2 linked regions of the Anolis sagrei genome follow. The protein of the gene in region 2 purifies or fractionates together with the protein of the main gene of each other region. This does not show direct contact. Links are inferred from orthologs where the notes say so. Each region holds a gene or a part of one and is shown on either strand. Other genes may lie near its edges.

The links.
Region 1: the proteins of TRAF3IP2 (region 2) and CD40 purify together in Homo sapiens (affinity purification with western blotting, with the first as the bait; 3 studies listed by BioGRID). This does not show direct contact. The link is inferred for Anolis sagrei from reciprocal best matches to the Homo sapiens genes TRAF3IP2 and CD40.

Annotation. Positions count from the first base shown.
Region 1 is NC_090024.1:248,015,645-248,031,445, forward strand, and holds the start of CD40 (tumor necrosis factor receptor superfamily member 5), read right to left. Parts: upstream 7,416-15,801; 5' UTR 7,356-7,415; coding exon 7,257-7,355; intron 1-7,256.
Region 2 is NC_090021.1:92,792,565-92,808,669, reverse strand, and holds the start of TRAF3IP2 (E3 ubiquitin ligase TRAF3IP2), read right to left. Parts: upstream 6,528-16,105; 5' UTR 6,503-6,527; intron 6,427-6,502; exon of another isoform or gene 6,133-6,426; intron 1-6,132. UniProt on the Homo sapiens protein: E3 ubiquitin ligase that catalyzes 'Lys-63'-linked polyubiquitination of target protein, enhancing protein-protein interaction and cell signaling. Transfers ubiquitin from E2 ubiquitin-conjugating enzyme UBE2V1-UBE2N to substrate protein.

The sequences.
Region 1 (15,801 bases), on a different chromosome or scaffold from region 2:
TCTTGGCACGTTTCTCACTTTCACCCTCCATTCGGGCCTCTTCACATTCTACAGCACTGCTGGTCACAGCTGACCTCCAGCTGGAGCGCTCAAGGGCCAGGGCTTCCCAGTTCTCAGTGTCTATGCCAGAGTTTTTAAGCCCATCGTTCAATCTCTTTTCCTGTCCTCCAACATTCTGTTTTCCATTCTTGAGTTCAGAATAGAGAACCAGTTTTGGGAGACGGTGGTCAGGCATCCAGATAACGTGGCCAGTCCAGCGGAGTTAATGGCGTAGGAACATCACTTCAATGTTGGTGGTCTTTGCTTCTTCCCCACGCTGACATTTCCCCGCCTGTCTTCCCAAGAGATCTGCAGGATTTTCCGGAGGCAGCACTGATGGATCGTTCCAGGAGTTGCATGTGACATCTGTAGACAGTCCACATCTCGCAGGCATACAGCAGGGTTGGGAGGTCAATTGCTTTATAAACAAGCACCTTGGTATCCCTACGGATGTCCTCAAACACTCTCTGCTTCATTCAGAAGAATGCTGCACTTGCAGAGTTCAGGCGGTGTTGTATTTCAGTCTCAATGTTGACATCTGTAGACAGTCCACGTCTCGCAGGTGTATAGCAGGGTTGGGAGGACAATAGCTTTATAAACAAGCCCCTTAGTCTCCCTATGGATGTCCCAAACGTCAGATGGATGGATGTAGGGCAGGACACTGATGGCCAACACCTTGATCCCTTCTCTTCTCCACATTCTTAAAACATCTCTTTAGTGGGATTTGTGGTTTGCAGACCTTTGGCTCTTTTTGTGGCCCTTCTCTGGACCTCTCCCTTCCTTCTATGATTCCCTCTTGTCCACCTCCTTCTTGAATGGCTTTTGCCCACAACTGGAACACAGGGATATGATGATTATTCCAGAGAGATGAATGGCCAAAACTAACAAAATGAAGTTGAACGGGGACAAATGCAAGATACTCCACTTTGGCAGAAAAACGAAATGCAAAGAGACAGAATGGGGGACGATGAGGCCTGGCTCGAGAGCAGTACGTGTGAAAAAGATCTTGGAGTCTTCGTGGGGAGGAAGGGGAACATGAGCCAGGAATGTGATGTGGCGGCAAAAAAAGCCAATGGGATTTTGGCCTGCATCAAGAGGAGCATAGTGTCTAGATCTAGGGAAGTCATGCTACCCCTCTATTCTGCTTTGGTGAGACCACATCTGGAATATTGTGTCCAATTCTGGGCGCCACAATTCAAGAGAGATATTGACAAGCTGGAATGTGTCCAGAGGAGGGCGACTAAAATGATCAAGGGTCTGGAGAACAAGCCCTATGAGGAGCGGCTTAGGGAACTGGGCATGTTTAGCCTGAAGAAGAGAAGGCTGAGAGGAGATATGATAGCCATGTATAAATATGTGAGAGGAAGCCACAGGGAGGAGGGAGCAGATCAAGGGTCTGAAGAACAAGCCCTATGAGGAGCGGCTTAAGGAGCTGGGCATGTTTAGCCTGAAGAAGAGAAGGCTGAGAGGGGATATGATAGCCATGTATAAATATGTGGGAGGAAGCCACAGGGAGGAGGAGGGAGCAAGCTTGTTTTCTGCTTCCTTGGAGACTAGGATGCAAGGGAACAATGTCTTCAAACTACAAGAGAGGAGATTCCATCTGAACATGAGGAAGAACTTCCTGACTGTGAGAGCCGTTCAGCAGTGGAACTCTCTGCCCCGGAGGGAGTGTGGGGGAGGCTCTTTCTTTGGAGGCTTTTGAACAGAGGCTGGATGGCCATCTGTCAGGGGTGATTTGAATGCAATATTCCTGCTTCTTGGCAGGGGGTTGGACTGGATGAGGGCCCAGGAGGTCTCTTCCAACTCTTCGATTCTATGATTCTAAGCACCTTGGTCTCCCTACGGATGTCCCGGATGTCGGATGGATGGATGTAGGGCAGGACATTGATGGCCAACTCCTTGATCCCTTCTCTCCTCCAGATTCTCAAAACAGCTTAGTGGGATTTGTGGTTTCCAGACCTTGGCCCTTTTTGTGGCTCTTCTCTGGGCCCCTTCCTTCCTTCCTTCCTTTCCTCTTGTCCAACTTCTTGATGGCTTTTGCCCAGAACTGGACAGAGGGATGGGATTCTTCAAGGAGAGAAGCTCTGAACACAGCAGAAGAAGAGAGTAGCACTACTATTCGGATGCAATCCTCCTCTGGATGGATGGGACTTGTGGTTTCCAGACCTTTGGCCCTTTTTGTGGCCCTTTCTTCTATGATTCCTTCTCGTCCACCTCCTTCTTGAATGGCTTTTGCCCAGAACCGGAACACAGGGATTTGAGGATTATTCCAGGAGGGAAGGTGTGGACACAGCAGAAGAAGAGAGCAGCACTACTATTTGGCTCTGCTTGGGCGTAATCCTCCTCTGGATGCATCTGAGAATATCATTGGCCTTGTGAGCTGCAGCCTCTCACTCCTGGCTCATGTCCAGCTTGTGGCCCACCAAGAGGCCTTGGCCCATTTTGAATGGCCTCTTTCCAAGGCAGGGCTTTCTTGCCCCATCTCCCTGTGTTTCCTCTGTATTGCCTTTTTGTGTTTCCCTTTCACCAAATTTGGGGGGGGGGGGGAGGAGCCTCTTTCACCCAAAAGTGGGTCTGGGGGCGGTGTCTTCCTCCTTCCCTTCCTTCCTGCAGGAAACTCCCCACCTCTTCTTTGCATAGGAAAGCCCCCCAACCCTCTCAGGATGTGATAATAATAACAATAATCATAACATTGTTTTTATGCCCCACCCCATCTCTCTCCCCGAAGGGACTTGGACCGGCTTACATGCAGGAACATGCCCAACCCAAGGGAGCTAATTGCTAATAACACATTTAAAAACGTAGCAAACACATGACAATCTGATGAATCAATTTAAAAACAAGCCCAAAAGGAATCAAAACAAATCTCACTAACTATGGGCAAGGTCAGAAATTAGAGAGGAGTGGGCAGGAGCTTGTGCAAAGAGCCCATGATAAGGCCAGGGCTGCAGGAAAATGCTGAGTCCACTCTAACGGTCAGTTAGGGCTGGGCATTCATGGACAGGGGCCTAAGGTCAAGGTTTCCCCTTGAGACTAAGTCCAGTCATGTCCAACTCTGGGACTCTGCTGTCCTTCTCTATTTCTAAGCCAAAGAGTCAGCGTTGTCCACAGACACCTCCAAGGTCATGTGGCCTGCATGACTATAAGGAGTGCCATTACCTTCCCACCAAAGCAGTACCTATTGTTGTTGTTTATTCACTTGCGCTGAACTCTTCGTGACCTCCTGGACCATCCCATGGGTGTTCACGGCCGGGGCCAAAGGTCAAGGTTTCCCCTTGAGATTAAGTCCAGTCATGTCTGACTCTGGGGTGTGGTGCTCATCTCCATTTCTAAGCCAAAGAGCCGGCATTGTCCATAGACACTTCCAAAGTCATATGGCCTGCATGACTACAAGGAGTGCCATTACCTTCCCACCAAAGCAGTACCTATTGCTGTTGTTTATTCGTTCAGGTGCGTTGAACTCTTTGTGACCTCCTGGACCATCCAATGGGTGTTCATAGACAGGGCCTAAGGTCAAGGTCAAGGTTTCCCCTTGAGATTAAGTCCAGTCGTGTCTGACTCTGCGACTCTGGTGTCCTTCTCTATTTCTAAGCCAAAGAGCCAGCGTTGTCCATAGACATCTCCAAGGTCATGTGGCCTGCATGACTACAAGGAGTGCCATTACCTTCCCACCAAAGCAGTACCTATTGTTGTTTATTTGTTCAGTTGCGTTGAACTCTTCATTGAGAGCCGTTCAGCAGTGGAACTCTCTGCCCCAGAGTGTGTGGTGGAGGCTCCTTCTTTGGACGCTTTTAAATAGAGGTTGGATGGCCATCTGTCAGGGGTGATTTGAATGCAATATTCCTGCTTCTTGGCAAAAAGGGGTTGGACTGGATGGCCCATGAGGTCTCTTCCAACTCTTTGATTCTATGATTCTTCGTGACCTCCTGGACCATCCCAGGCCAGAGCTCCCTGTTGACCGTCACCACCCCCAGGGTCTCCTTCAAGGTCAAGCCAGTCCCTTTAAGGATGCCATCCATCCACCTAGCCCTTGGTCAGCCCCTCTTCCTTTTTCCTTCCATTCTCCCCAACATCATTGTCTTCTCTAAGCTTTCCTGTCTTCTCATGATGTGGGCAAAGGACTTCCTCTTGGCCTCTCATCTCCTTCCCTCCAATGGAGGATGGACTGGTTGGATCTTCTGGTGGTCCAAGGCACTCTCAGAACTTTTCTCCAGCACCACAGTTCAGAAGCATCTCTCTTCCTTCACTCAGCCTTCCCTATGTTCCAGCTCTCACCTCCGTAGGTGACTACAGGGAATACCATGGACCTTCGTTGCCAGTGTGATGTCTCTACTCTTCACTCTTTCATTGAGGTTGGCCAACGCTCTCCTCCCAAGAAGGAAACATCTTCTGATTTCCTGGTCCCTATTGATCAACTCACATTTGCATGTTTTCAAACTGCTAAGTTGACAGAAGCTGGGGCTAATAGTGGGTGCTCACCCCACTCCCTGGAATCAAACTGGCAACCTTCCAATTAGCAAGTTCAGCAGCTCAGCGGTTTAACTCGCTGTGCCACCTGGGAATCTAATCATGATCAAAGGAACACTGGAACATTTGAGTTTTGAGGTCTCTGCGAAAGGCGGACAGAGTGGGTGCCAGCCTCATCTCCTGAGGGCTGAGAAGGGCAGTATACACATACAGTACATAAAATGAATAAATCTCCCTGGGGAAGGCATTCCAAACCCAGGGGCCACCACTGAGAAGCCACCCCCCTCTCCTCCCCACCAACTATGTTTGGGACGGTGGTGAAAGGATCTTGGAGAACACACCATACTTCTGAACTAGTTCATAGTCAATGGGGGGTGGGGGATCCCCAAGGGAGGGGTCCCTGGGTGGGGGAGGGGCCGAGGGTGGGGACGCGAGGAAGCCCCCCCCCCCACCAAACGACCTGGAAAGGAAAGGAGGAAAGGAAAAGGGAAGGGATGAAATGAAAGAAGAAAGGAATGGAAGGGGAGGATGGGAAAAAAGACAGGTGGGAGTAGAGGAAGGAAGGAAGGAGAGAGGAAAGAAAGGAAAAAAGAAAGGACGGACGGAGAGAAGTAAGAAAGGGAAGGGAGGAAGGAGAAAGGGAAGGAAGGGAGGAGAGAAGAACGGATGGGAAGAAGGAGAGAAGAAAGAAAGGAAAAAGGAATGGAGGGAGGGAAGAAAGAAAAGAAGGGAGGAAGGAGAGAGGGGAGAAAGGAAAAAGGAAGGAAGGAATGAGAGAAGGGGGAAAAGGAAAGAATGGAAAGGAAAGGAAAGGAAAGGAAGGAAGGAAAGAAGAGGAAGGAAAGGAAGGAGGGAAGCAAGGAAGGAAGGAGAGAGGAAAGAAAGGAGAAAAGAAAGGAAGGAAGGGAGGAAGGAAAGAAAAGAAGGGAGGAAGGAGAGAGGAAAGGAAGGGAAGAAGGAGAGAGGGAAGAAAGGAAAAAGAAAGGAAGGAAGGAAGGAAAGAAAAGAAGGGAGGAAAGAGAGAGGAAAGAAAGGAAAAAAGAAAGGAAGGACAGAGAGAAGTAAGAAAGGAAAGGGAGGAAGGAGAAAGGGAAGGAAGGAAGGAGAGAAGAACGGATGGGAAGAAGGAGAGAAGAAAGAAAGGAAAAAGGAAGGGAGGGAGGGAGGAAAGAAAAGAAGGGAGGAAGGAGAGAGGGAAAAAAGGAAAAAGGAAGGAAGGAATGAGAGAAGGGGGAAAAGGAAAGAATGGAAAGGAAAGGAAAGGAAAGGAAAGGAAAGGAAAGGAAAGGAAAGGAAAGGAAGGAAGGAAGGAAGGAAGGAAAGAAGAGGAAGGAAAGGAAGGAGAGAAGCAAGGAAGGAAGGAGAGAGGAAAGAAAGGAGAAAAGAAAGGAAGGGAGGGAGGAAGGAAAGAAAAGAAGGGAGGAAGGAGAGAGGAAAGGAAGGGAAGAAGGAGAGAGGGAAGAAAGGAAAAAGAAAGGAAGGAAGGAAAGAAAAGAAGGGAGGAAGGAGAGAGGAAAGAAAGGAAAAAAGAAAGGAAGGAATGAGAGAAGGGGAAAAAGGAAAGAATGGAAAGGAAAGGAAAGGAAGGACGGAAGGAAAGAAAGAAAGAAAGAAGATCAAGGAAAGGAAGGAAAGGAAGAAAGAAAGCCAGTGGGATTTTGGCCTGCATCAAGAGGAGCCTAGTGTCTAGATCCAGGGAAGAACTTCCTGACTGTGAGAGCCGTTCAGCAGTGGAACTCTCTGCCCCGGAATGTGGTGGAGGCTCCTTCTTTGGAAGCTTTTAAACAGAGGCTGGATGGCCATTTGTCAGGGGTGATTTGAATGCAATATTCCTGCTTCTTGGCAGAATGGGGTTGGACTGGATGGCCCATGAGGTCTCTTCCAACTCTTTGATTCTATGATTCTATGATTCTATGCTCCCCATGCTCTATTCTGCTTTGGTTAGACCACATCTGGAATATTGTGTCCAATTCTGGGCACCACAATTCAAGAGAGATATTGACTCTAAGCTGGAATGTGTCCAGAGGAGGGCGGCTAAAATGATCAAGGGTCTGGAGAACAAGCCCTATGAGGAGCGGCTTAAGGAGCTGGGCATGTTTAGCCTGAAGAAGAGAAGGCTGAGAGGGGATATGATGAGGGCCATGTATAAATATGTGAGAGGAAGCCACAGGGAGGAGGAGGGAGCAGGCTTGTTTCCTGCTTCCCTGGAGACTAGGACGCAATGGAAGAATGGCTTCAAACTCCAAGAGAGGAGATTCCACCTGAACATTTGGAAGAACTTCCTGACTGTGAGCGCCGTTCAGCAGTGGAACTCTCTGCTCCGGAGTGTGGTGGAGGCTCCTTCTTTGGAAGCTTTGAAGCAGAGGCTGGATGGCCATCTGTCAGGGGTGATTTGAATGCAACATTCCTGCTTCTTGGCAGAATGGGGCTGGACTGGATGGCCCAGGAGGTCTCTCCCAACTCTTTGATTCTAGGATTCTATGATTCTAAGAAGGAAGGGAAGGAAAGAAAGCGCAGTTCCACCCCCTTTCCCCCCAGAAGCCCCCATTTCGGGCAGAGAGGGACCCTCTCCTCCTCCCCGGGACTCAGAAAGGGAGGAGTAGAGAAAAGAAGGGAAAGAAGGGAGGGAGGGAAATAAAAGCGAGAAAGAAAGAAAGAAAGAAAGAAAGAAAGAAAGAAAGAAAGGAAAGCCCCGACCTGTGCCCCCCCCCCCTTTTCTTGGTGTCCGAAGCGAAAGCGAAACTCACGGCGCGTCCGAGGTGGGTGGCGAGGAGGGCCCAGGTCAGCGCCCACGAGGAGAAGAAGCGCCCTGGCCGGAGCCCCGCTGACCTCCAGCCAGACCCCATGCCCACCCTCTTCCTTCTGCAAGAGGAGGGCCGGAGCGCTGCCCTTAAGAGCCCCCCGGGAAGAAGAAAGAGGAGGAGGAGGAGGAGACAGAAGAGGCGCCACGCCCCCTGCCCCGCCCCGCCCCCTCCCCTCCGCCCAATGCCGCCCCGCCGGGGAATCCCCCCCTGCCTCTGAGCATGGGCAGAGCGCCCCCCCCCCCACTGGCCCTCCCCATCGCCTCCGGGGTTTCCCTTCCAGAGCATTCCCGGCCAAACAGGACCAGGAAGATCCCCATAATTGGGTTTTTGTAGAAATTTACGGGCTGTCTGGCCATGTTCTAGAAGCATTCTCTCCTGACGTTTCGCCTGCATCTAGGGCAAGCATCCTCAGAGGTTGGGAGGTCTCAAAACCTCCTAGGATGCCTGCCACAGATGCAGGCGAAACACCAGGAGAGAATGCTTCTAGAACATGGCCAGACAGCCCGAAAAAACCTACCACAACCCAATAATTCCGGCTATGAAAGCCTTTGACAGTAGAGTTCAGAATGCTTTTTGATTGTATGTGAACTATACATCCCAGCAATGACAACTCCCAAATGTCAAGGTTTATTTTCACCAAACTCCACCAGTGTTCACATTAGGGTATATTGATTATCCATGCCAAGTTTGGTCCAGATCTATCATTGTTTGAGTCCACAGAGCTCTCTGGATGTAGGTGAACTGCAACTCCCAAACTCAAGGTCAATGCCCACCAAACTCTTCCAGTACTTTCTGTTGGTCTCAGGAGATTTGTGTGCCAAGTTTGGTCCAATTCCATTGTTAGTGGAATTCAGAATGCTCTTTGATTGCAGGTGAACTATAAATCCCAGCAACTACAACTCCTAAATGTCAAGGTCTATTTCCCCCAAACTCCACCAGTGTTCACATTTGGGCATATTGATTATCCATGCCAAATTTGGTCCAGATCTGTCAGTGCTCTCTGGATGTAGGTGAACTACAACTCCAAGCAAACTCTGTGCCAAGTTTGGTCCAGATCCAGCATTGTTTGAGTCCACAGTGCTCTCTGGATATAGGTGAACTACAACTCCCAAACTCAAGGCCAATGCCCACCAAACCCTTCTAGTACTTTCTGTTGGTGTCAGGAGTTTTGTGTGCCAAGTTTGGTCCAATTCCATCGTTGGTGGAGTTCAGAATGCTCTTTGTTTACAGGTGAACTATAAATCCCAGCAACTACAACTCCCAAGTGACAAAATCAACTATCCCCCAACGCCACCAGCATTCAAATGTAGGCGTATAAGATATTTGTGCCAAATTTGGTCCAGTGCATGATAATACCTCTTGCATGTCAGATATTGACATGACGATTCTTAAGAGTGGCAAAATGACAGTGATGAAGTTGCAACGAAAACAATCTTCTGGTTGTGGGTCAACACAACATGAGGAACTGTATTAAGGGGTCGCGGCATTAGGAAGGGTGAGAGCCACTGCTTTAGAGCCTAGGATGCCTTTATGAGTATGTACGATTCAAATAGAAGACTGTGACTCCTTAAAGAAAAGATATTATCGGAGAAATGATCATGGAACACAAATAGCTGGAAAACAGCACACTGTTTGCAACAAATACTTATGCGCATAGAATCCTAGAATCAAAGAGTTGGAAGAGACCTCCTGGGCCACCATCCAGTCCAACCCCATTCTGCCAAGAAGCAGGAATATTGCATTCAAATCACCCCTGACAGATGGCCATCCAGCCTCTGCTTAAAAGCTTCCAAAGAAGGAGCCTCCACCACACTCCCTCCGGGGCAGAGAGTTCCACTGCTGAACGGCTCTCACAGTCAGGAAGTTCTTCCTCATGTTCAGGTGGAAACATTCAGTTCAGTTTCCCTTCCGCATTCCAGCTTGTCAACTCTCACATATTTATACATGGCTATCATATCTCCTCTCAGCCTTCTCTTCTCCTTAAGCCCAGCTCCTTAAGCCGCTCCTCATAGGGCTTGTTCTACAGACCCTTGATCATTTTAATCACCCTCCTCTGGACTCATTCCAGATTGTCAACTCTCACATATTTATACATGGCTATCATATCTCCTCTCAGCCTTCTCTTCTTCAGGCTAAACATGCCCAGCTCCTTAAGCCGCTCCTCATAGGGCTTGTTCTACAGACCCTTGATCATTTTAATCACCCTCCTCTGGACACATTCCAGCTTGTCAACTCTCACATCTTGATCCATGGCCCTCATCATGTCTCCTCTCAGCCTTCTCTTCTTCAGGCTAAACATGCCCAGTTCCCTAAGCCGCTCCTCATAGGGCTTGTTCTCCAGACTCTTGATCATGGTAGTCGCCCTCTTCCTCTGGACACATTCCAGCTTGTCAATCTCTCTCTTGAATTGTGGTGCCCAGAATTGGACACAATATTCCAGGTAAAGTGGTCTAACCAAGGCGGAATAGAGCATGGGCAGCATGACTTCCTTAGATCTAGACTCTATGCTCCAATTGATGCAGGCCCAAATCCCATTGGCTTTTTTTGCCGCCACATCACATTGTTGGCTCATGGCTCATGCATGTCTGTTGCAATGTTTTGTAAAGACCCACAGGGAACTCCACGGCAGGAAAAGTCCTCCGGAAAACCCAAGGAGGGGTCTTCCTTCCTTGCTTCCTTCCTTGCTTATGCAGCCTTGTCTCCCTGGGGTTTCCTGCTGACTTTTCTTGCCTTCCCGTCCAGTTTCCCTTCCGCAGAAAGTAGAGAGAGACGCTCCTTCCCTGCCTCTTCTGGGTCAATCCCTGTCCATGGTCCTAGCACCCTAGACTTGGAGGAAAAAACCCCAAAGGCCATCCAGCCCAGCCCCAACCTGCCAGGAAAAGCACCATCCAAGCCCTCCCAATAGAGCAGTGGTCCTCAACCTTCTTAATGCCGCGACCCCTTAATACAGTTCCTCATGTTGTGGTGACCCACAACCATAACATTATTTTTGTTGCTACTTCATAACTGGAATTTTGCTACTGTTATGAATCATCACATAAATATCTCATATGCATGATGTACTTTCATTCATTGGACCCAAATTTTGCACAAAAACCCAATATGTCCAAATTTGAATACTGGTGGGATTGGGCAGGCGGATTGATTTTGTCATTTGGGAGTCGTAGTTGCTGGGATTTATAGTTCACCTACAATCAAAGAGCATTCCGAACTCCACCAACAGTGAAATTGAACCAAACTTGGCACACAGAACTCTCATGGCCAACAAAAAATACTGGAAGGGTTTGGTGGGCATTGACCTTGAGTTTGGGAGTTGTAGTTCACCTACATCCAGAGAGCACTGTGGACTCAAACAATGATCAATCTGGACCAAACTTGGCACAAATACTCAATATGCCCAAATGTGAACACTGGTGGATTTTGGGGGAAATAGACCTTGACATTTGGGAGTTGTAGTTGCTGGGATTTTTGAGTTCACCTAAAATCAGAGCATTCTGAGACCCACCAGCGATAGAATTGGGCCAATATTTCCACACAGAGCTCCCATGACCAACAGAAAATACTGTGTTTCCTGATGGTCTTTGGCGACCCCTCTGACAACCCCTCGCGACCCCGCCAGGGGTCTCGACCCCCAGGTTGAGAAACGCTGCAATAGAGAGCCATCCAGTCTTCAAGGGTCAGACCCCAGAGGGTCACTCTAGTATCCTGACCCTCTCCTCTTCATATTATCCCGATGTTGGAAATCACACACACAGCCCAGTCGCAACGTTCATATAATGTCATCCTCACTCCCCCCCCCCCCCCCCAAAATGTGTTTGAACTCATTTTTAGATAAGAAAGAGGAACTGACCCTGCAGTCACTTGCAGTTTCGTAGAAACCGCTTCTCAAGACCTGCCGAGGAGGGGGTGGGAATGAATGGCGTAGAAAGGACAAGCAACTCCAACCCCCCAAAGATCTGGCTGCACCAACCCCATGGTATGAGGGAGCAAGCTTGTTTTCTGCTTCCTTGGAGACTAGGACGCATTGGAGCAATGGCTTCAAACTCCAACAGAGGAGATTCCATCTGAACATGAGGAAGAGCTTCCAGACTGTGAGAGCCGTTCAGCAGTGGAACTCTCTGCCTTCCCCGGAGTGGGTGGAGGCTCCTTCTTTGGAAGCTTTGAAGCAGAGGCTGGATGGCCATCTGTTGGGGGTGTTCTGAATGCAATGTTCCTACTCCTTGGCAGAATGGGGTTGGACTGGATGGCCCAGGAGGTCTCTTCCAACTCTTTGATTCTAGGATTCTAGGATTCTATCCCCTGCCCCATCATTGGCTTCCGCTCCCCATAGAATCATAGAATCCTAGAATCAAAGAGTTGGAAGAGACCTCATGGGCCATCCAGTCCAACCCCATTCTGCCAAGAAGCAGGAATATTGCATTCAAATCACTCCTGATAGATGGCCATCCAGCCTCTGCTTAAAAGCTTTCAAAAAAGGAGCCTCCACCACACTCCCTCTGGGGCAGAGAGTTCCACTGCTGAACGGCTCTCACAGTCAGGAAGTTCTTCCTAATGTTCAGATGGAATCTCCTCTCTTGTAGTTTGAAGCCATTGTTCCGCGTCCTAGTCTCCTAGGAAGCAGAAAACAAGCCTGCTCCCTTCTTCTCCCTGTGGCTTCCTCTCACATATTTATACATGGCTCTAATCATATCTCCTCTCAGCCTTCTCTTCTTCAGGTTAAACATGCCCAGCTCCTTAAGCCGCTCCTCATAGGGCTTGTTCTCCAGACCCTTGATCTGCTCCCTCCTCCCTGTGGCTTCTTCTCACATATTGATCCATGGCTATCATATCTCCTCTCAGCCTTCTCTTCTTCAGTCTAAACATGCCCAGCTCCTTAAGCCGCTCCTCATAGGGCTTGTTCTCCAGACCCTTGATCATTTTAGTCGCCCTCCTCTGGACACATTCCAGCTTGTCAATATCTCCCAGTTGAATTCTGCTAGGAAAATATTTATTTATTTATCTATTTATTTACTACATTTGTATACCACCTTTCTCAGTTTATGGGCGACTCATACCAAAGGCTCGGTTGCCACCTTGGGGTTGTGTGATTCTACTCTAGTTCAGGCACGGGCAAACTTCGGCCTTCTCTCCAGGTATTTTGGACTCCAACTCCCACCATTCCTCACAGCCTCAGGCCCTTTCCTTTCCCTTTTATGATTCCTTTTCTGCTTAAGCAGCTGAGGGGGGAAGGAAGGGGCCCCAGGCTGTGAGGAATTGTGGGATTTTGAGTCCAAAACACCTGGAGGAAGGGCTCAAGTTGGCCCATGCCTGCTGTACAGTCTGATTGCTGCTTGACATTGTCTAAACTTTATCTGTTCAATTAATAATAATAATAATAATAATAATAATAATAATAATAATATAGGTTTTTTCGGGCTATATGGCCATGTTCTAGAGGCATTCTCTCCTGACGTTTTGCCTGCATCTATGGCAAGCATACTCAGAGGTAGTGAGGTCTGTTGGGACTAGGAAAAAGGATTTATATATCTGTGGAATTACCAGGGTGGGACAAAGGACTCTTCTCTGTTGGAGCTAAGTGTGAATGTTTCAACTGAGCACCTTGATTAGCATTTGATGGCCTGGCAGTGCCTGGAGCAATCTTTTGTTGAGAGGTAATTAATCTTTTGTTGAGAGGTAATCACCTCTCAACAAAAGATTTCTCCAGACACTGCCAGGCCATCAAATGCTAATCAAGGTGCTCAGTTGAAACATTCACACCTAGCTCCAGCAGCCAAAAGTCCTTTGTCCCACCCTCGTCATTCCAGAGATACATAAACCCTTTTTCCTAGTTCCAACAGACCTCACAACCTCTGAGGATGCTTACCATAGATACAGGCGAAACGTCAGGAGAAAATGCCTCTAGAACATGGCCATATAGCCCGGAAAAACCTACAACAACCCAGTGATTCCAGCCATGTAAGCCTTCGACAATACAATAATAATATATATATACATATACATATTGGCATCAGGAGCAACTTGAGAAACTCCAAGTTGCTTCTGGTGCGAGAGAATTGGCCATCTGCAAAGACGTTGCCCAGGGGATGTTGCCTGGATGTTTTGATGTTTTACCATCCTTGTGGGAGGCTTCTCTCATGTCCCTGCATGGGAAGCTGGAACTGACAAAGGGAGCTCATCCTTGCTCTCCCCGGATTCCAACCTCTACCTATCAGTCTTCAGTCCTGTTGGCTGTGTGCGTGTGCGTGTGTGTTCAAGGGTACATTTCCTTATTTTGGAGCAGAAAGACTAAAGTGGGGAACGGGACTCAGGGGCTGTGTTTTCTCTGGGGCTTTTGTGCCACAGAAAGTACCCAGTTTACCAAAGAAAGCAAGAGGTTTGGTGGGAAATTCCTGACACATCATGATGTCTCTGTAGGCTATGAATGTGTGCATGTGTGTGTGTGTGTGTAGAGAGAGAGAGAGAGAGAGCGCGCGAACAAGTTTATGCAATATTGGGCTTTTGATGCAACAGCAGCCAAACATTAAGAAAAGCCAAATAAGGACCACAGATTATATTTCTTGTTGTTGTTGTTGTTGTGAACTGGCACCAAGTTGTTCCCAACCTTAAGCACAAGAATTCTTGCACTGAGACTTTCTTTGTGACTTGATCAAGAGACAATAACAACAACAACAACAACAACAACACACTGTCATAGAATCATAGAATCCAAGAGTTGGAGGAGACCTCCTGGGCCATCATCCAGTCCAACCCCATTCTGCTAAGAAGCAGGAATGTTGCATTCAAAGCACCCCTGACAGATGGCCATCCAGCCTCTGTTTCAAAGCTTCCAAAGAAGGAGCCTCCACCACACTCCCTCCAGGGCAGAGAGTTCCACTGCTGAACGGCTCTCAGAGTCATAGAATGATAGAATCCTAGAGTTGGAAGAGACCTCCTGGGCCATCCTCCAGTCCAACCCCATTCTGCCAAGAAGCAGGAATATTGCATTCAAATCACCCCTGACAGATGGCCACCCAGCCTCTGTTTCAAAGCTTCCAAAGAAGGAGCCTCCACCACACTCCCTCCGGGGCAGAGAGTTCCACTGCTGAACGGCTCTCACAGTCATAGAATGATAGAATCCTAGAGTTGGAAGAGACCTCCTGGGCCATCATCCAGTCCAACCCCATTCTGCCAAGAAGCAGGAATATTGCATTCAAATCACCCCTGACAGATGGCCACCCAGCCTCTGTTTCAAAGCTTCCAAAGAAGGAGCCTCCACCACACTCCCTCCGGGGCAGAGAGTTCCACTGCTGAACGGCTCTCAGAGTCATAGAATGATAGAATCCTAGAGTTGGAAGAGACCTCCTGGGCCATCATCCAGTCCAACCCCATTCTGCCAAGAAGCAGGAATATTGCATTCAAATCACCCCTGACAGATGGCCACCCAGCCTCTGTTTAAAAGCTTCCAAAGAAGGAGCCTCCACCACACTCCCTCTGGGGCAGAGAGTTCCACTGCTGAACAGCTCTCACAGTCAGGAAGTTCTTCCTAATGTTCAGATGGAATCTCCTCTCTTGTAGTTTGAAGCCATTATTCTGCGTCCTAGTCTCCAAGGAAGCAGAAAACAAGCTTGCTCCCTCCTCCTCCCTGAGGCTTCCTCTCACATATTTATGCATGGCTCTCATCATGTCTCCTCTCAGCCTTCTCTTCTTCAGGCTAAACATGCCCAGCTCCTCAAGCCGCTCCTCATATGGCTTGTTCTCCAGACTCTTGATCATTTGAGTCACCCTCCTCTGGGCACAGTATTCCAGCTTAGAGTCAATATCTCTCTTGAATTGTGGTGCCCAGAATTGGACACAATATTCCAGGTGTGGTCTAACCAAGGAGGAATAGAGCATGGGGAGCAGGACTTCCTTAGATCTAGACACGATGCTCCTCTTGATGCAGACCAAAATCCCATTGGCTTTTTTTGCCGCCACATCACATTCCTGGCTCATGTTTAACTTGTTGTCCACGAGGACCCCAAGATCTTTTTCACACGTCCTGCTCTCAAGTCAGGCATTGTCCCCCATTCTGTCTCTTTGCATTTCGTTTTTTCTTGCACTGAGACTTCCTTTGTGACTTGATCAAGAGACAAAAGTGGGGTGATGACAACAGCAACAACAACAACAGCACACTGTCCTTTTAAGACAGGTATGGGCAAACTTCGGCCTTCCAAACGTTTTGGACTTCAACTCCCACAATGCCTAACAGCCTGTCGTCTGTTAGGAATTCTGGGAGTTGAACTCCAAAACACCTGGAGAGCTGAAGTTTGCCCATGCCTGCTTTAAGGTGACCTTAGGGTCCGATTCAGATCCAGTCTTGGGAATATTGTAAGTGCTATTGTTTGTTTGTTTATTTATTTATTTACAGTATTTATATACCGTCTTTCTCACCCTGGGGGGACTCAAAGTGTTGTTGTTGTTGTTGTTGTTGTTGATAGGGTGGCATGGGGTCTCTCACTTATGGGGTCAC
Region 2 (16,105 bases):
AATACACACTGAAGTGGATTATCTGGCTGTGTGGACTCAGATAATCCAGTTCAAAGCAGACAATGTGGGATTTCATTCAGCTGTGTGGAAAGGGACTGGGTTGTCTGAGGCCCCTTCCATACAGCTGCATAAAATACACACTGAAGTGGATTATCTGGCTGTGTGGACTCAGATAATCCAGTTCAAAGCAGATAATGTGGGATTTCATTCAGCTGTGTGGAAGGGAACTCTTCAATCAAAGGGCATTCTGAAACCCCAACAGCCATGGAATTGGACTAAACTTGGCACAGAGAACACCCATGAACACAAAGAGAATACTGGGGGCTCTGGGGAAAACAGATCTTGGAGACTGGGAGCCTGTGTTTTCCTTCCTGCCACAGCTATCCCCTGGGAGGCGCCTGCAAACGCTGCTGCAAGAACTCAGGGGCCGTTTGCAGCACGGAGCTTCTCCGTTTGCAGCTTCTCCGTTGGCCTGGGGATGGCTCTCCTCCGCTCCTGGGCCGTCCTACAGGAGCGGCTGCAGCCCAGCACCTGCTCCACGGAGGATGATGCCAAGAAGGTGTGCGGCTGAAAGAAGGGCATCCACTCTCTGCATAGCAACCCAGCTGTCTTTTCCTCCTCTTTCCTTGCCCCTTTCTTTCTCTGCTCTTTCTCCCTGCACACCTTTCCCTCCTTCTCCCTTGCCCCAGACACGTTTATTTTCTTCTTCCTCGCCCTGTGTGCACTTTTTTCTCCCTCTCCCTTGCCATGTGCGTGCCCTTTTCTCCTCCCTCGACCCTCGTTCACCTTTCTTCTCCCTCACCCTGCGTGGACCCTTTTTCCCTTCTCCCTCGCCCCATGTCTGCCTTTCCACCCCCCTTGCCCCCCCGCCTGCCTTTTTTCCTTCTCCCTTACCCTCAGCGTGCCTTTCTCTCCTTCTCTCTCATCTTGTGCGTGCTTTTCCTTTTTTCTCCCTCACTCCGTGGGCACCTTTCTTTCCTTCTCCCTTTCCCTGCATACCCTTTATCTTCCTCTCTCCCTAGCTGGGTTGCTCTGCCGAGAGAGAGAGAGAGCGGAGGAAAGGCCTCCTCTCCCACTTTTCCAGGAGCCATTGGCAGGCAGGGAAGGACTTCCATCAGCCTCCGTCGAGCTGCTGCTGCTGGGTTGCAGCTGCTCCTCTAGGCCTGCAGCAGCAGCTCGACGGTGGAGGTGTTCAGAGGTAGGACGCCGCTGCCTCCGCCGCTCCAGGAAGGCATGCGATTATTGCTGGGCTGGGAAAGGGCTGCCACTATCCCTATCAGGAGTGCCATTGGCATGTGGGTCGACCGCCATTTTGGAGGGGGCGTGGCTAGCCAATGCGGCATGGCGACCCCCAGAAAATGGCCAAACGACCCCCCGGGGGGTCGCGACCCCCAGGTTGAGAACCGCTAGACTACAGGGACTTCATGTTTAACTTACTAGTTACATGATAAATCTTTGCACATTTTATTTTCCACAACTCTGCCTGAATGTTTTTATTTAAACAACGAATAAGGAGGACTGGGTTCCACTTTACCACATTGAGCCAGTGTTCAACATAGTTATTTGTTTAGTAGTGGTCCCCTTGAGGCTTACATACCAGATCCATGAAACAGCAAGATGAATGACAGAAGCTCAGGAACTTGAACTCCACAGAAGTTGCAGTGAAAGAATGGAAGGTCAGATCAAAAAGAAAGTTTTTTGGTTGAAGGTGGGCTGTTAGAAGAGCTTTGTGGGTATTTTGGCCCATTCTTATTTATTTATTATCATTGATTTGCTTCATTTATACCACACCTTTTTCACCCCGCAGCTTACAACTCCGGCAAAATGCAATGCAGCTTAAAACTCTAACAATAAAATATATCCCATTAACTAAAACAATTAAGCAGATAAAACACATAGAAAAATAAGCAGATTAAAACATATAAAGTGCATAATTCCATTTATCCACCATTCTTATTCAGACTGTATCAGAACCTGTATAACTTATTCTTCAAATGCTTGTGTAGTACAGAGTCAGATCTTTAGCTTTCCCCCTGCCCTGAAAACCAGAAGAGATGGGGCCTGCCTGATGTCACTGGGGAGGGATTCTACAACTGAGGGGCCACCACTGAGAAGGCCCTGTCTCTCGTCCCCACCAATTGCACTTGCAAGAGGGGTGGGACTGAGAGCAGGGCCTCCCCAGCTGATCTTAAAGCTCTTGTTGACTCATAAGAGGAGATGCCTTCGAACAGGTAAGTTGGACCAGAATTGTTTAGGGATTTATAGGCAAAAACCAGCACCTTGAATTGGGCTCGGTAGCAGAACGGTAGCCAGTGGAGCTGACACAACAGGAGGGATGTCCTCTCTCTGTATGCCATGCTCTGATGTTTGGTGCAAGCAATATTACTTGTAGACAGGGTTTTCAATATGACTTGCTTAGTAAACTGCTCAATACAATTATAACATTAATAATATCTTATTTATCTACTCAGTCTTTTTCCTGGAGCAGCTTGGAATTCTTCAACGTTTGCTGAATTAAATAAGAGCAATATAATACACAACAGTCGCCATTGTTTTACATATTCTTTGCAATTACCAGACCTACAAGAAACTTCAAATGTTAAAACTATGAAGTCTGAGTTGGGGTGCATCTACATTGAATATTTAATACAGTCTGACACTGCTTTAACTGCCATGGACCAATATTACGGAATCCTGGGTGTTGGTGAAGCACAAGCACTCTTTGGCCGAGAAGGCCTATAACCTTATAAAGCTGCAACTCCAATGGTCCCATAGCATTGAGCCATGGCAGTTAAAGTGGTGTCAAATTGCATTAAATATTCAATGTAGATGCATCCTAAGACAACAAAACACTGTCATATTATTTAAACTCTTGAATCCTTGTAATTTCTTTTCCTTCACTTTGTATTTTAATAGAAAACAATAACACAGATATTGCTTGGGTAAATAATCTCTGAAGCCTTCAGTAACTTGCACAGTAGAATACCCTTGTGACCTGGCACTTCCAAATGTTTACTTTTTAAAGTTCTAAATCTTGAGGCAGGACTAAGAGTCTTCTGTTTAACTTGTCAGTTTGGCTGAAGGAAGAGGAAGCATGGAAGTGGTGTGGGAAATGTTCTCCCTCAGCTAAAACAGTGAAGCACAGTAATGTTCACAGATAAAGGATTGTGGCAATGGATAACGACATTCATTCAAGCTTTCAAGGAAATAGGAGGGAATAGAAAAAAGAAGCAGATGTTCCAGTTTATCTTGGATAAGTCTGTCCTGACAGAGAGTTCGGATTCCTAACACCAGGAGCTTCAGTGTTAAAGCAAGCTTATAGCTGTGTGCTCAAGCCCATTCTTTACATTTCTTAATATAATTCTTCATGGCCTGTTTGAAATCTGTGCAGTTTCCCTTTCTAAAGGCTTGTGTCAGCAGATGAGATCTCCAAAGGAGCCTGTATAACCAGCTTGATTTTGATTACACCTTCTTCTGACAGCAGCGAGAAAGAATATGCAGCGAAGAATGGCTCGCTAGGTAAATTCCCACTTCAAAGGCCTTCAATTTCATGCCATTTAATATTGCTATGAGACAGGTCCATTGCTAAGATACTGGCAGGGGAGGAGAAACAAAAAAGACAGCATTCTGTGACGTGAACATATGTTTGAGAGAATAAATTTCAGTTGTCTTTATATATTTTCCTCAGATATATTTTTCTTAAATTAAACAGAGCACAAGAGAGGTCTCACAGAGCAAAACAATATTTTAACCAGCCAACTATTCTGGTTTTAGCTGCATTCCATTCTGGATTATCTGACAGATAGATATGACAGCACAAAGCACTAATAGCTAGTGTTCCAACCAATGACAGCTAGTTTCATCTTCAACCTCAGGTTTCTCCCTGAAAAGGAGAATAGAATAATGCTTAAAATCTACCTGCTGATCGCTTTTGGCATTACTGATTATTTAACCATTCATCCAGCAGCAAGATATCATGGTACATATCAAATGTGCTCAGGGTACATGTTTGTGCTGCCTAAAAACACTATTCTGACTTGTGAACTCATTGCAAATTAAAAGCCAGTGAACACAGCATTTCATATTTTGGGTCTTCCTGTGTCAGAATTAAGAGCCCAAATTTAACAGCAATAGTGAAGAAGTAAGATTAAAAACATTCCTTATGGAGAAAAATGGAAGTGGCTGAGAATTTAAAAACAAAACAGTAAAATCATAATAAAAGTAAGAATGCATAGCCACAATAAAATCAACATAACATCACTTTTCTTGAAGCAGCAGAAAGCAACAAAATCCCAGCGGAATTAAAAAAGTCTTCAGGAATATTGGGAAAGGAAGGATGAAAAGAAAGCCCATGATGAGCTACTCCACAGAGATGGCCCCCTATCATTGACTCTGTAACATGCAGAGATATCTATAACAACAATTGTGATTGCCCCTATCATTGACCCCAAGAAATTAAACATCCACTGTAAACAGCCAGAGACTAGGGGCCCTTCCACACAGCCCTATATCCCAGAATATAAGGCAGAAAATTCCGTAATATCTGCTTTGAACTGGGTTATCTGTGTCCACACTCTGATAATGCCTAAATATATGTATATGCATTTTTTATTAAAATTTATTTCACTAAACCCATCTGCAGGGCATCCTATCTGCAATTACCCTGAAATAAGCCCTGCTGCATGCCTCTAATAAGTGTGCAGAGAATTGCAGCCTCAGCATTGGTTATGGAGGGTTTATGACACCAAAACAAGCACAAGGGTTATAAGAAGCAGCCCTGGAATCCTAGACAAGGCCCTTTAGCAATCCAAAACAACCATGTGCAAACTTTTGTACTCCAGAGGTTGCAACTTCAATTCCTGACTATGCTAACTGGGCTACATCATTCTACACCAAACATGGGCAAACTCCAGCCCAGTGAGAGTTGAAGTCCCAAACACCTGGAGGGCCAAAGTTTTCTCATGCTTGTTCCACAATGTAGAATGAATGCAGTTTGGCACCACTTTAGCTGCCGTGGCTATGGAATCATGGGAGTGGTAGTTTGGGCACCATCGCCCTTTGGTGGACAGTGGACACTGTAGTGCTACAACTCCCAGGATTCCATAGCATTGAGCCATGGCAGTTAAGATGTTGACAAACTGCAATAATTCTTCAGTGCAGATGCATGCCCTACCTCACGCATGGGCAAACCTTGGCCTTCCAGGTGTTTTGGACTTCAACTCCCACAATTCCTAACATCGGGTTATAAGAAGCAGCCCAGGAATTCTAGTCAAGGTAAATCAAAAACAACAATCTGCAAACTTTGGTACTCCAGAGGCTGCAACTTCAATTCCTGACTATGCTAACTGGGGTGCATCATTCTACAACAGGCACTGGCAAACCTGAACCTTCCAGGTGATTTGGACTTCAACTTCCACCGTTTCTAACTACCTCAGGCCCTTTCCTTTTCCCCCTCAGCCGCTTAAGTCCAAAACACCTGGCCCAGGTTTGCCGCGGCTGAGGGGGGAAAGGAAGGGGCCTGAGGCTTTTAGGAATGGTGGGAGTTGAAGTCCAAGATATCTGGAGGAAGGCCATGTTTGCTGCAGCTGAGGGAGAAAAGAAGGGGCCTGATTAGGAATGGTGGGAGTTGAAGTTTAAAACACCTGGAAACCCTAGGCTTGCTATGGCTGAGGAGGAAAAGGAAGGGTCCTGAAGCTGTTAGGAATGGTGGGAGCTGAAGTCCAAAACATCTGGAAGGCCCAGCTTTGCTGAGGGGTAAAAGGAAGGGGCCTAAGGCTGTTAGGAATGGTGGGAGTTGAAGTCCAAAACACCTGGAAGGCCCAGGTTTGGCCATGCCTAGAGAGAATGAATGCATTTGGGACACCCCATTGAACCTCCATGTCTCACTGCCTCCCAGATCCTGGGGGGCAGTGAGGGCCTGCAAAAACTATAGTTCCCCTGATCCCATAGCACTGAGCTGAGTCAGGGAAAGTGGTGAAACACCCTCTGTGAATCCCACAGATACACTCAACGCCCGTTTTGTGTTGTGGGAGAGAAGAGGGGAAGGGCCATGCTGAGGGGAGAAACGACTGTGAGAAGGAAGGCGAGGGGAAGGAAGTGGGGCAGAGGGGGGAAGGCCTGGGACACACTCACCCCTCGGGAAGGAAGGAAGGTAGGAAGAAGAGGGCCTCCAAGGAGGAGGAGAAGGGGCAACAGCAGCCTCTCCTTGCGGGGCTGCCACCCGGCCTACTTCCGGCCTTTCTTTCTTTCCTCCTCCTCCTCCAGCCAGGTAAGAGGCCGAGGCAGCGCCTCTCGTTCCAGGAAGTCGCCCGCTTCGTCTATGCAAATCTCAGGCGGCGGGGCAGGAAGGAAGGAAGGCCTAGGCCGCGCCTGGGCAAACTTCGGCCCTCCTCCAGCAGTTTTGGACTGCAACTCCCATCATTCCTAACAGCCTAACTATATTCCTCACTATAGCATAGTTAAAGATGTCTCAGACTGGATTAATTCTACAGTAAAGACGCACCCTAACCTCTCTTCACCTTCAAGGCAGCTTTTACCTGAGTGCCTCTGGTTGCTTCTGCACCACCTGACATCCTCCGGGAAGGGGCAGCCCATAATGAAAGGACCATGGCAGTGACATCTCCAGCCCATCCCCTGTTCGGATATCAGCCAGCACGCCAACGCCTTAAATCAAGAAATAGTTTTCTATGATCTACAGAGATACCTGCAGGAAGCAAGCAAGAGTCCAAAATTGGCAGTGCAAAAATCTGGAACCTCAACCCATGGCTGATACCAAATGAGAGATTCCCTCCTGGGCACACCGAAGACTGGGCAACTTGGAACAGACTGTGCTCTGGCATCATGAGATGCAGAGCCAACCTTAAGAAATGGGGCCACAAAGTGGAGTCCACGACATGTAAGTGTGGAGAAGCGCAAACCACAGACCACCAACTACAATGCAGTTAATGCCCTACCACATGCACAATGGAGGGCCTTCTTATAGCAACACCAGAGACACTCCAAGTGACCAGCTACTGGTCAAAGGACATTTAATATAATGCCAAGTTTTTAAACTTTGTGCTTCTTAAATACATTGCAACTGTACCCTCGGTTCACTTCTGACACGATAAATGAACCTGAGTGCCTCCTCTCTCCTGCTCAGTCCACCAAAGGCTACATATACATATATTGGTAAGTAGTTGAATACAGTGATTGAAGATTGGAATCCTTCCCTTATATAAACGCACAATATGTACGTTCGTATTTATGAAGACATTATTCTTAACTGACATCACTGACATGCTATTCTCAACTTTTACAGAAGTAGGAAGCTTAACTGTCAGAAACCTGAGGCCTATTTCTCATGAAATAAAGAGCAAAGAGTGTTGTTATGTAATAATAATAATAATAATAATAATAATAACAACTTTTCCATTGAATAAAGGAAACTACAGGCAGTTCAAGGGCCCGCTGGTGGCGCAGCAGGTTAAACTGCTGAGCTGCTGAACTTGCTGACTGAAAGGTTGGCGGTTCGAATCTGGGGAGTGGGATGAGTTCCTGCTGCTAGCCCCAGCTTCTGCCAATCTAACAGTTCGAAAGCATGTAAATGTGAGTAAATCTATAGGTACCACTTTGGCGGGAAGGTAACGGCGCTCCATGCAGTCATGCCTGCTATATGACCTTGGAGGTGTTTATAGACAACGCCAGCTCTTTGGCTTAGAAATGGAGATGAACACCAACTCCCAGAGTCAGACATGACTAGACTTAATGTCAGGAGAAAACCTTTACCTTTACCTGTTGTTAAAGCCCTTTAAAGTGTTACTGTTGAAGGGGGAACTATGCATTCTCTCAGAGGTTCCCTTCACTTCTGCGCTCAAGGGGGTGGCACAGGGATGGACACACGGACAGACGAGTTGAGTCAAGTGAAGAAGGCTATTCTGCCTTGGTCAGACCACACCTGGAATACTGTGTCCAATTCTGGGCACCACAATTGAAGAGAGATATTGACAAGCTGGAATGTGTTCAGAGGAGGACAACTAAAACGAACAAAGGTCTTGAGAACAAGCCCTATGTGGAGCAGCTTAAAGAACTAGGCATTTTTAACATTCAGAAGAGAAGGCTGAGAAGAGACATGATGGTTATGTATAAATATGTGAGGAGAAGTCATAGGGAGGATGGAGCAAGCTTGTTTTCTGCTGCCCTGGAGACTAGGACACCAAACAATGGTTTCAAACTACAAGAAAGGGGATTCCATCTGAACATTAGGAAGAACTTCCTGACTATGAGAGCCGTTCAGCAGTGGAACTCTCTGCCCCAGAATGTGGTGGAGGCTCCTTCTTTGGAGGCTTTTAAGCAGAGGCTGAGTGGCCATCTGTCAGGGGTGCTTTGAATGCAATTTTCTTGCTTCTTGACAGAGGGTTGGACTGGATAGCCCAACTCCATGATTATATGATAAAATAGCAGGAGGCCCTCCTGTGAGAGAAAACAGGGAATGTGACTTCAAGGCAAGCAGAGAAAACCCCTTGTTAAGTACTGTGGTACCTGTTCCAACTTATATACAAATTCAACTTAAGAACAAACCTACAGAACCTGTCTTGTTTGTAACTTGGGTACTGCCACTATTTTAACTATATCCCTTCCTAAGAGGCAGAGTTGGGGTTTGGGTTCAGTGGGTTTAGAAATATTGAACTCCCTGCAAAAAAATACAAAAGATTAGCTCTTCAAGCTGAGTTCTGAGTTCTACAAGGACAGGATGCATACCTTCTGTTCTGCCAGTCCATAGGGGCCTCCATTAACAAGTCCAAGGATTCATGAAAGAAAAACAAGGCCAACAACTGGAAATGGTTTTCTTCTGTCGGCTGCCAAATTCCTAGAAACATGATCTGGAAAACGTCTGGGAGCGATCAGGGAACCAAGCAGACAGCTGTCAGCTCACTTGGAGACCTTTGCCTGGTGTAATATTCACTTTGGCTGTTAGAGAAAGTGCCAGAGAAAAAGGTGCCAGGTTTCCAAAAAAAGAGAGGAAAGCATGCATAGCTCTGAAATCCAACTTATTTTGTAAGATAAGAGACACAGTACCCCTGACTGCCTCTCCCACTGAAATAGTAATTTGTAGAAGAACAAGCATTTACCACCACTTCCCCGAACTACAAATCCCAGAAGTAACAACTCCGCAAACTATAAACCACAAAGCGAGAGTATGGTGCTGTAATGAAAGTAAAGGCTTAAGTTTATCCCTACTCACCACAGTCCTTAACTAAAGTGCTACCCACTTTGGAAGCAGTGTTATTTCATTTGCCTTGGGTTTTTTTCATTTGTATTTACAAGATTGCATTGCAGAAATAAGGTGTGTGTGAATCAATGGTGTTCTGATCATTAATAGCAATTCTCCCCTTGTAGGGTTGATGAATTTGAAACTCATGGATGACTTTGGGTTCTTCCAGACAGGCCCTATATCCCAGGATCTGATCCCAGGTTTTCTGCTTTAAACTGGATTAAAGCTGGATTAAATTATTTTTGTTGTTACTTTACAACTGTAATTTTGCTACTGTTATGAATCGTCATGTAAATATCAGATCTGCAGGATGTATTTTCATTCACTGGACCAAATTTGGCACAAATACCTGATACGCCCAAATTTGAATTCTGGTGGGGTTGGGGGGGGGGTATTGATTTTGTCATTTTGGAGTTGTAGTTGCTGGGATTTATAGGTCACTTACAATCAAAGAGCTTTCTGAACCCCACCAACAATAGAATTGGGCCAGACTTCCCACACAGAACCCCCATGACCAACAGAAAATACTTATTTTTCTGATGGTCTTTGACAACCTCTCTGACATAACCCCGGCGATCCCCCCCCCCCCCCATGCTGCTGTCAGGAGTTGTAGTTAGGTGGGGCGCCAGCACTCTGGCAAGAAAGAAAGAAAGAAAGAAAGAAATGCTAAAGACTGTGTAAACCTACAAGTGGTGCCAAACTACATTAATTTGATGTATTGTCAAAGACTTTCATGGCCGGAATCACTGGGTTGTTGTAGGTTTTTTTGGGCTATACGGCCATGTTCTAGAGGCATTTTTTCCTGACGTTTCGCCTGCATCTATGGCAAGCATTCTCAGAGGTAGTGAGATCTATTGGAACTAGGAAAGTGGGTTTATATATCTGTGGAAAGACCAGGGTGGGACAAAGAACTCTTGTCTGCTGGAGCTAGGTGTGAATGTGTCAACTGACCACCTTGATTAGCATTTGATGGCCTAGCAGTGCCTGGGGCAATCTTTTGTTGAGAGGTGATTAGATGTGCCTGATTGTTTCCCCTCTGTTGTTTTGCTGTTGTAATTTTTGAGTTTTTTTAATACTGGTAGCCATTTTGAGTTAGTTCTCACAGAGAAGCCTTTCGCACAGGACACAGAACGAAGTGGCTCCTGTAGAAAAGCTTCGTCTTTTACAGCTTGGCCGGGGTTATACAGCCCTACGGCTTGGCCAGGAGACATACAGCCACAGCTTGGCTGAGGGACTCCAGCCGGCCATCACAGCAACCTGAACTCCTTCTTTTTCCCTGGAGGTCTACAAAGCTCTGTTGAGGCAAGGGTCACTCACGGAAGCCAGATGCAGTTGGTACCGGGTGCAGGGGCTCCACGTCAACAGAGGCAAGTACAGACTGCCCAGATTAGAAGCTAGGATTTCCCCTTTAGTTAATTATAGTTAAGAAGATAGTGCCTGTTCCCTGCGGACAAGTTTGAGAGAACTGATACTTTAAAGCTCTACAATACCTGTTTGTTCCTTAATAAAAGAACTTTGTTGGACTTACTTTAAGCATTCTAAGGACTCTGTTTGGGGGAATCTAAGGGCCTTTATTCTGAGGCAGCCCCGGCGTCCCGTTGGGCACAGAGAATTTATGTCCTGTGTACAGTCTAATGCACAGGCCCAGCGTGCGACAGCACAGTCATTAGGATCCCGGGAACCTTGCTGGGGAAAGCATGAGCAGTAATCTAGTCCCTTAGCTGGCTTTATTTTAAAAATAACTAGATGGTTATTTCTAAAATAAATAACTACCTGGTTATTTATCGTGGCTGTTAACCCCAGCAAGAGAAGTGTCCTGTTAGAATGATAGAACCATAGAGTTGGAAGAGACCACATTAGTTCTCTAGTCCAACCCCCTGCCATGCAGGAAAAGCACAATCAAAGTATTCCCAACAGATGGCCATCCAGCCTCTGTTTAAAAGCCTCCAAAGAAGGATCTTCCACCTCTGTTCCTTGACTGTAGGGCTCTGCATCGGTGGCATATCCTTGTTCATAAGACCCTGACAGTGATGAATGTAGTAGAAAACGTGCTCCAGTGTAGCCAAGTCTGACAGCATGCTCTGATTTAAAATCCCAGTGGTACAATGAACCGTCTGGATTTTCACAAACTGCAGAGCTTCAGAGCAAGATCTTTCTTCTTTTGCACAAGTCTTACCCTCTAGATCCCAAATGGAATATAAAACGTGTACAAGGAAAACTAAAAACAAAGTATTAAGTGACTGAAATTTAAGATAAGGGTATCAAAGCAGAATAGAACACCAATGCCTCGGTGCCCCCACTGTCAGATAATATATTGTCGAAGGCTTTCATGGCCAAAATCACTGGGTTGTTGTGAGTTTTCTGGCTGTATGGCCATGTTCCAGAAGCATTCTCTCCTGATGTTTCACCTGCATCTGTGGTAGGCATCCTCAGAGGTTGTGAGGTCTGTTGGAAAAATGTCAGTATTTTTTACTCCGGGAAGCTTGCCAGGATTGAGAGTTTGCATTAAGCAGGGCACTGGACATCCTTCATCTTGGTTTGCCCACAAAATGTATAGGAACTACAAAAGAAAAGTGGAAATGGACTTCTGGAAACTGCAATTTTTATGCCTTCCCTTCTGTACGTTTTTTGTGGAGGTGCAGTCTGTGGTGAATTGCAAATGGGATAGAAAACTGGCTCTTGGGTGGCCCACATTTGGAGTAAAGAGAGGGTAAAGCAGAAAGAGATGGTTGTCAGCATGGAGAAAGAAAAGGGCAAAGTATATTATTTTTCAAACCACCCATTCCAGTACTTTGATGAAATATGGTTTCTTTGAAGCCATGATCAGAAGATTTTGATTTGAATTTTTTTGTGTATGAAGAAGGGAAGAAAAGGGAGCTCATGAGTCTTGAACGTCACAATGATTCATTTGCATGAACTAACCTGGAGCTTGGTGTTGCATCTGAATCAGGCGAGAGATGCTAATAAATCTGAAGCAATGCATTTGGAAATAACGTCCATTAATTACAGCAAGTCTCTAATGCCCAAGTAAATACTTTAAAGATCTGGATGGTAGACTAACAAGAGATATATGAGAGATCTAAAATATTTTCTACTACATGAGATTTTATTATAGTTTGCTCCTCCTCATAATATAATGTCACTTCTACTAATGAAGAAATTACAGCCCCTCTCCCTTAGAACTGTATGAGTTTCTAGAACCGTCAAATATTCATATTTTTAGGGTGTTATACCCAAGGCTTTGTTATATCCTGTTGAGAACCAAACAAAGGACTGGTGAACACAATGCCTGTACATTAATTTACACGTAGCTTCCAATTAACTCTCTCTTAATGATAAAAACCTCTCTTGCTATTTATTAAAGTTTTCCCCATAGCAATATATATCTCTTTAATTAAGATCAGCAACAAACTAATCTCTCTTTATTCCCTCTTGCTTTCAATTAGCAGCTCATTGATCATTACCCAGTAGACACACGGCGATTAACAGAACAAGAATAAACAATAGGACAGTTTCCTTGGAAATTATACTTCAGGAGCATGGAAATATGCAGCCAAGAGGCAGGGCCAGAATGGATCACCGAGAAAAAGCACCCATATAATTGAACTGCAGGCAACATTAAGAAAAGCTATAGGAGCGTCCATTGCAAGATGAGACATCACAGTTAAATAGTTGACTGATAGGGCAAGAATTATATATGGGGTGAATAGGAAAGGCTGAAATATTTTTAGTTCTTTTTTCGTGTCAGGAGCGACTTGAGAAACTGCAAGTCACTTCTGGTGTGAGAGTATTGGCCGTCTGCAAGGATGTTGCCCAGGGGATGCCTGGATGTATGATGTTTTACCATCCTATGGGAAGCTTCTCTTATGTCCCCGCATGGGGAGCTGGAGCTGACAGAGGGAGCTCAACTCGCTTTCCTTGCGTTCAATCTGCTGGATGGCCATCTGTTGGGGGTGCTTTGAATGCAATTTTCCTGCTTCTTGGCAGGGGGTTGGACTGGATGGCCCACAAGGTCTCTTCCAACTCTATGATTCTATGATTTTTTAGCTTTTGCAACACAGTTGACTCATGTTCCGCTTGTGGTCTACTAAGGCTTCTTTCGCTTGTACTATTGTGAAGCCAGGTATCACCCATCCTATGTCTGTGCATTTTTTTCTGTTTAAATTTAGAGCCTTACATTTCTTCTTGTTGAAATTCGTTTTGTTTTACCTAGCTCTTTAATCTGATAAGGTCCTTTTGGATTCTTATCCTGCCTTCTGTTGTGTTAGCTATCCCTCCTAATTTGGTGACATCTACAAATTTGATAAGCCTGCCCTCTGTGTTGAGGATTATTTCCTGGACAGCTTCCAGTTCTTTTGCAGGCTAATGAGAATCAACATGCCAGTGACAATCAGAGCTACTTCTCTTTTAATTCTCTTACAATGTTCAGGGAACAAAAGTGCACAAGGCCTTCTTAATAGAATGACATTAGGCGGGCAGTCTAGTGTAGAGTGTCAGCCTACTTTCCATACCAAAAAAATATAAATCTGCGACTTTCCTTTTTGGCAGTTGCATCAATGGCATGAAAGGTCTGTACATTAGTGAGTCTGCTGTCATAAGCCATTGGTACAATTTGAATCCATTATTTCCAATAAAAATCCCCGTTATAAGCATAGTCATTTAGACTGTTACAGCAAACATTCACTAGCACAGATATGGGCAAACTTCAGCCCTCCGGGTGTTTTGGAGTTCAGTTCCCACAACTCCTAATAGCTAGTTAACACACCTCCACAAAAGCTTGAGCTTGACAATCTGTGCAATCTAACTTGCACTTACTCCTCACTGCAATGTGTCTAAATCAGTGGTTCCCAACCTGCGGTCCGTGGACCACCAGTGGTCCACAATAACAAAAATATGGTTCGCAGCCTCCCCATTACTACACCATTGCTTTGAAACCACGCGGTAACGAGAGTGACTGGGCTTGCGAAACGCTCTTATAGTGCCGAGGCAATGGGGTTGTTGGGAGGGGAGAGGCTGACTACCCACAAAAGATTACTATGGACACATCAGCTCTATATTATTAAATATTGTTTTTTGTGGGCGAGCAGATAGTGACTACCGGATGGCATATGTTCTATATCAGAAACTAGAGCTGATGTGGTCTATCCAATGCAATTTTCTGAATCAGCACCCCAAATAACAAAATTGAATCTAAAGTTGACCAAAAACTGATTCGTAACCCTTTTGGTACTTACGTTGGAGAGCAGTACCTAGTCAAAGTGGTCCCTGGTTAAAAAAAAAAAAGGTTGGGAACCACTGATCTAAATAAAGAACACACCAAGAGACCTTTACGTCAATGTGGTATGTGGAGAAAACACTTGAAAGATTATCTTAATGATTAGGACAGCCTGGATCTGATTAGTCACCAAGGATTTCCCTCATAAAAATACCTCTCCGCACTTTTCTTTGTGTACTAGTAAAGACTGAAGATACAAATAAGCCATGTTGGAAGAGTCCTGCATGGACATTCCTGGAGGAAAAGAGCTTAACTAACGAACTGATATGGTGAATACTTACTTCAGGCACGAGCAAACTTTTTAATTTGGGAGCCAAATTGCGGACTGGAGAAGGGTGGGTGGGCCGGAGGGAGGGGTTCTTCTCAAGTCCCCCCTCGACCCTTTTCTCCCCTTCCTCTTCTCTTTTGGAGGCAGAAAGTGAAGGAAAGACAGGAAACGCTTGGATCCCAAACGGGTTGGCCTTTGTCAGGATGAGATAGTGGACAGGAGAGAAAAAGTGTATCCACGAGACTCTGTATTGCCTGCACCTGATAAAGAATCCTAGAACTGGAGGAGACCCCCCAAGGGCCATCCAGTCCAACCCCCTACCATTCAAGAAGGCACAATCAAAGCATTCCCAATAGAGAGCCTCTGCAGAAAAGCCTCCAGAGAAGGAGATTGCACCATACTCCTAGGCAGCCTATGCCACTTTCCAATAGCTCTTACTCTCAGGAAGTTCATTTCAGTTGAGTCTTTCCCTGCCATTTGAGCTCATTGCTTCCTTGTGCCCTGGTCTTTAGAGCAGCAGAAAGTCAGTCCCCCGCCCCTCAATGGGACGCCTTTTGAAATCTTGAAAAAAGGTTCTCATGTTCCCTTTCCACCTTCTCTTCTTCCAGCCAAACATCCCCCAGGAGGAAAGGGAGAAGGAAAAAGAGAAGGAAGGAAGGAAGAATGAAGGGAAGGATGGAAGAAAGGATTGGTGGAAGGGAATGGAGGGAAGGAAGGAAGGAAGGAGGAAAGAGAGAAGGGAAGGAGGGAGGGAGGAAGGAAGGAGAAAGAGTGGGAAGGAGGGAGGAAAGAGGGAAGGAAAGATAATTAGGTCAAAGGGAAGGAAGGAGGAATGGAGAAAGAAGGAGGGAAGGAGGGAGGGAAGGAAAGGGAGAAGGAAGGAAGGATAGGATGGTGCGAAAGAGGAGGGCCTGAGAAAAGAGCCCAAGGGGCCGCATCCAGTTTGCCCATACCTGACTTAGTTTCACATAGCTAATTCTATCTCTTATCTCTGGAAAAGATTTTGTGCAAAAGAAGCTCAGCAGGTCCAACCCTTCACCCAAAGAGCTGCTGGATCTCATCTTTACTTTTCTGTCTCTTACCTCATGTTCATGTTTTATCATCCCAGGAGTGGTATGTGGAAAAACACAGGCGTTCTCTAGCTACAACAACTGCTGCTCTTGCTCTTACAAGGAAACTTAAAGCTGTAAGCTATTATTGGAGCAACAAGAGCAAACTGTGAAGCTTAACTTAAAACATATGGAATATAAATATCATTTGAAGACAGAACAATCTTACCACATTTTCAATATGTCGAATCTTAAAATAA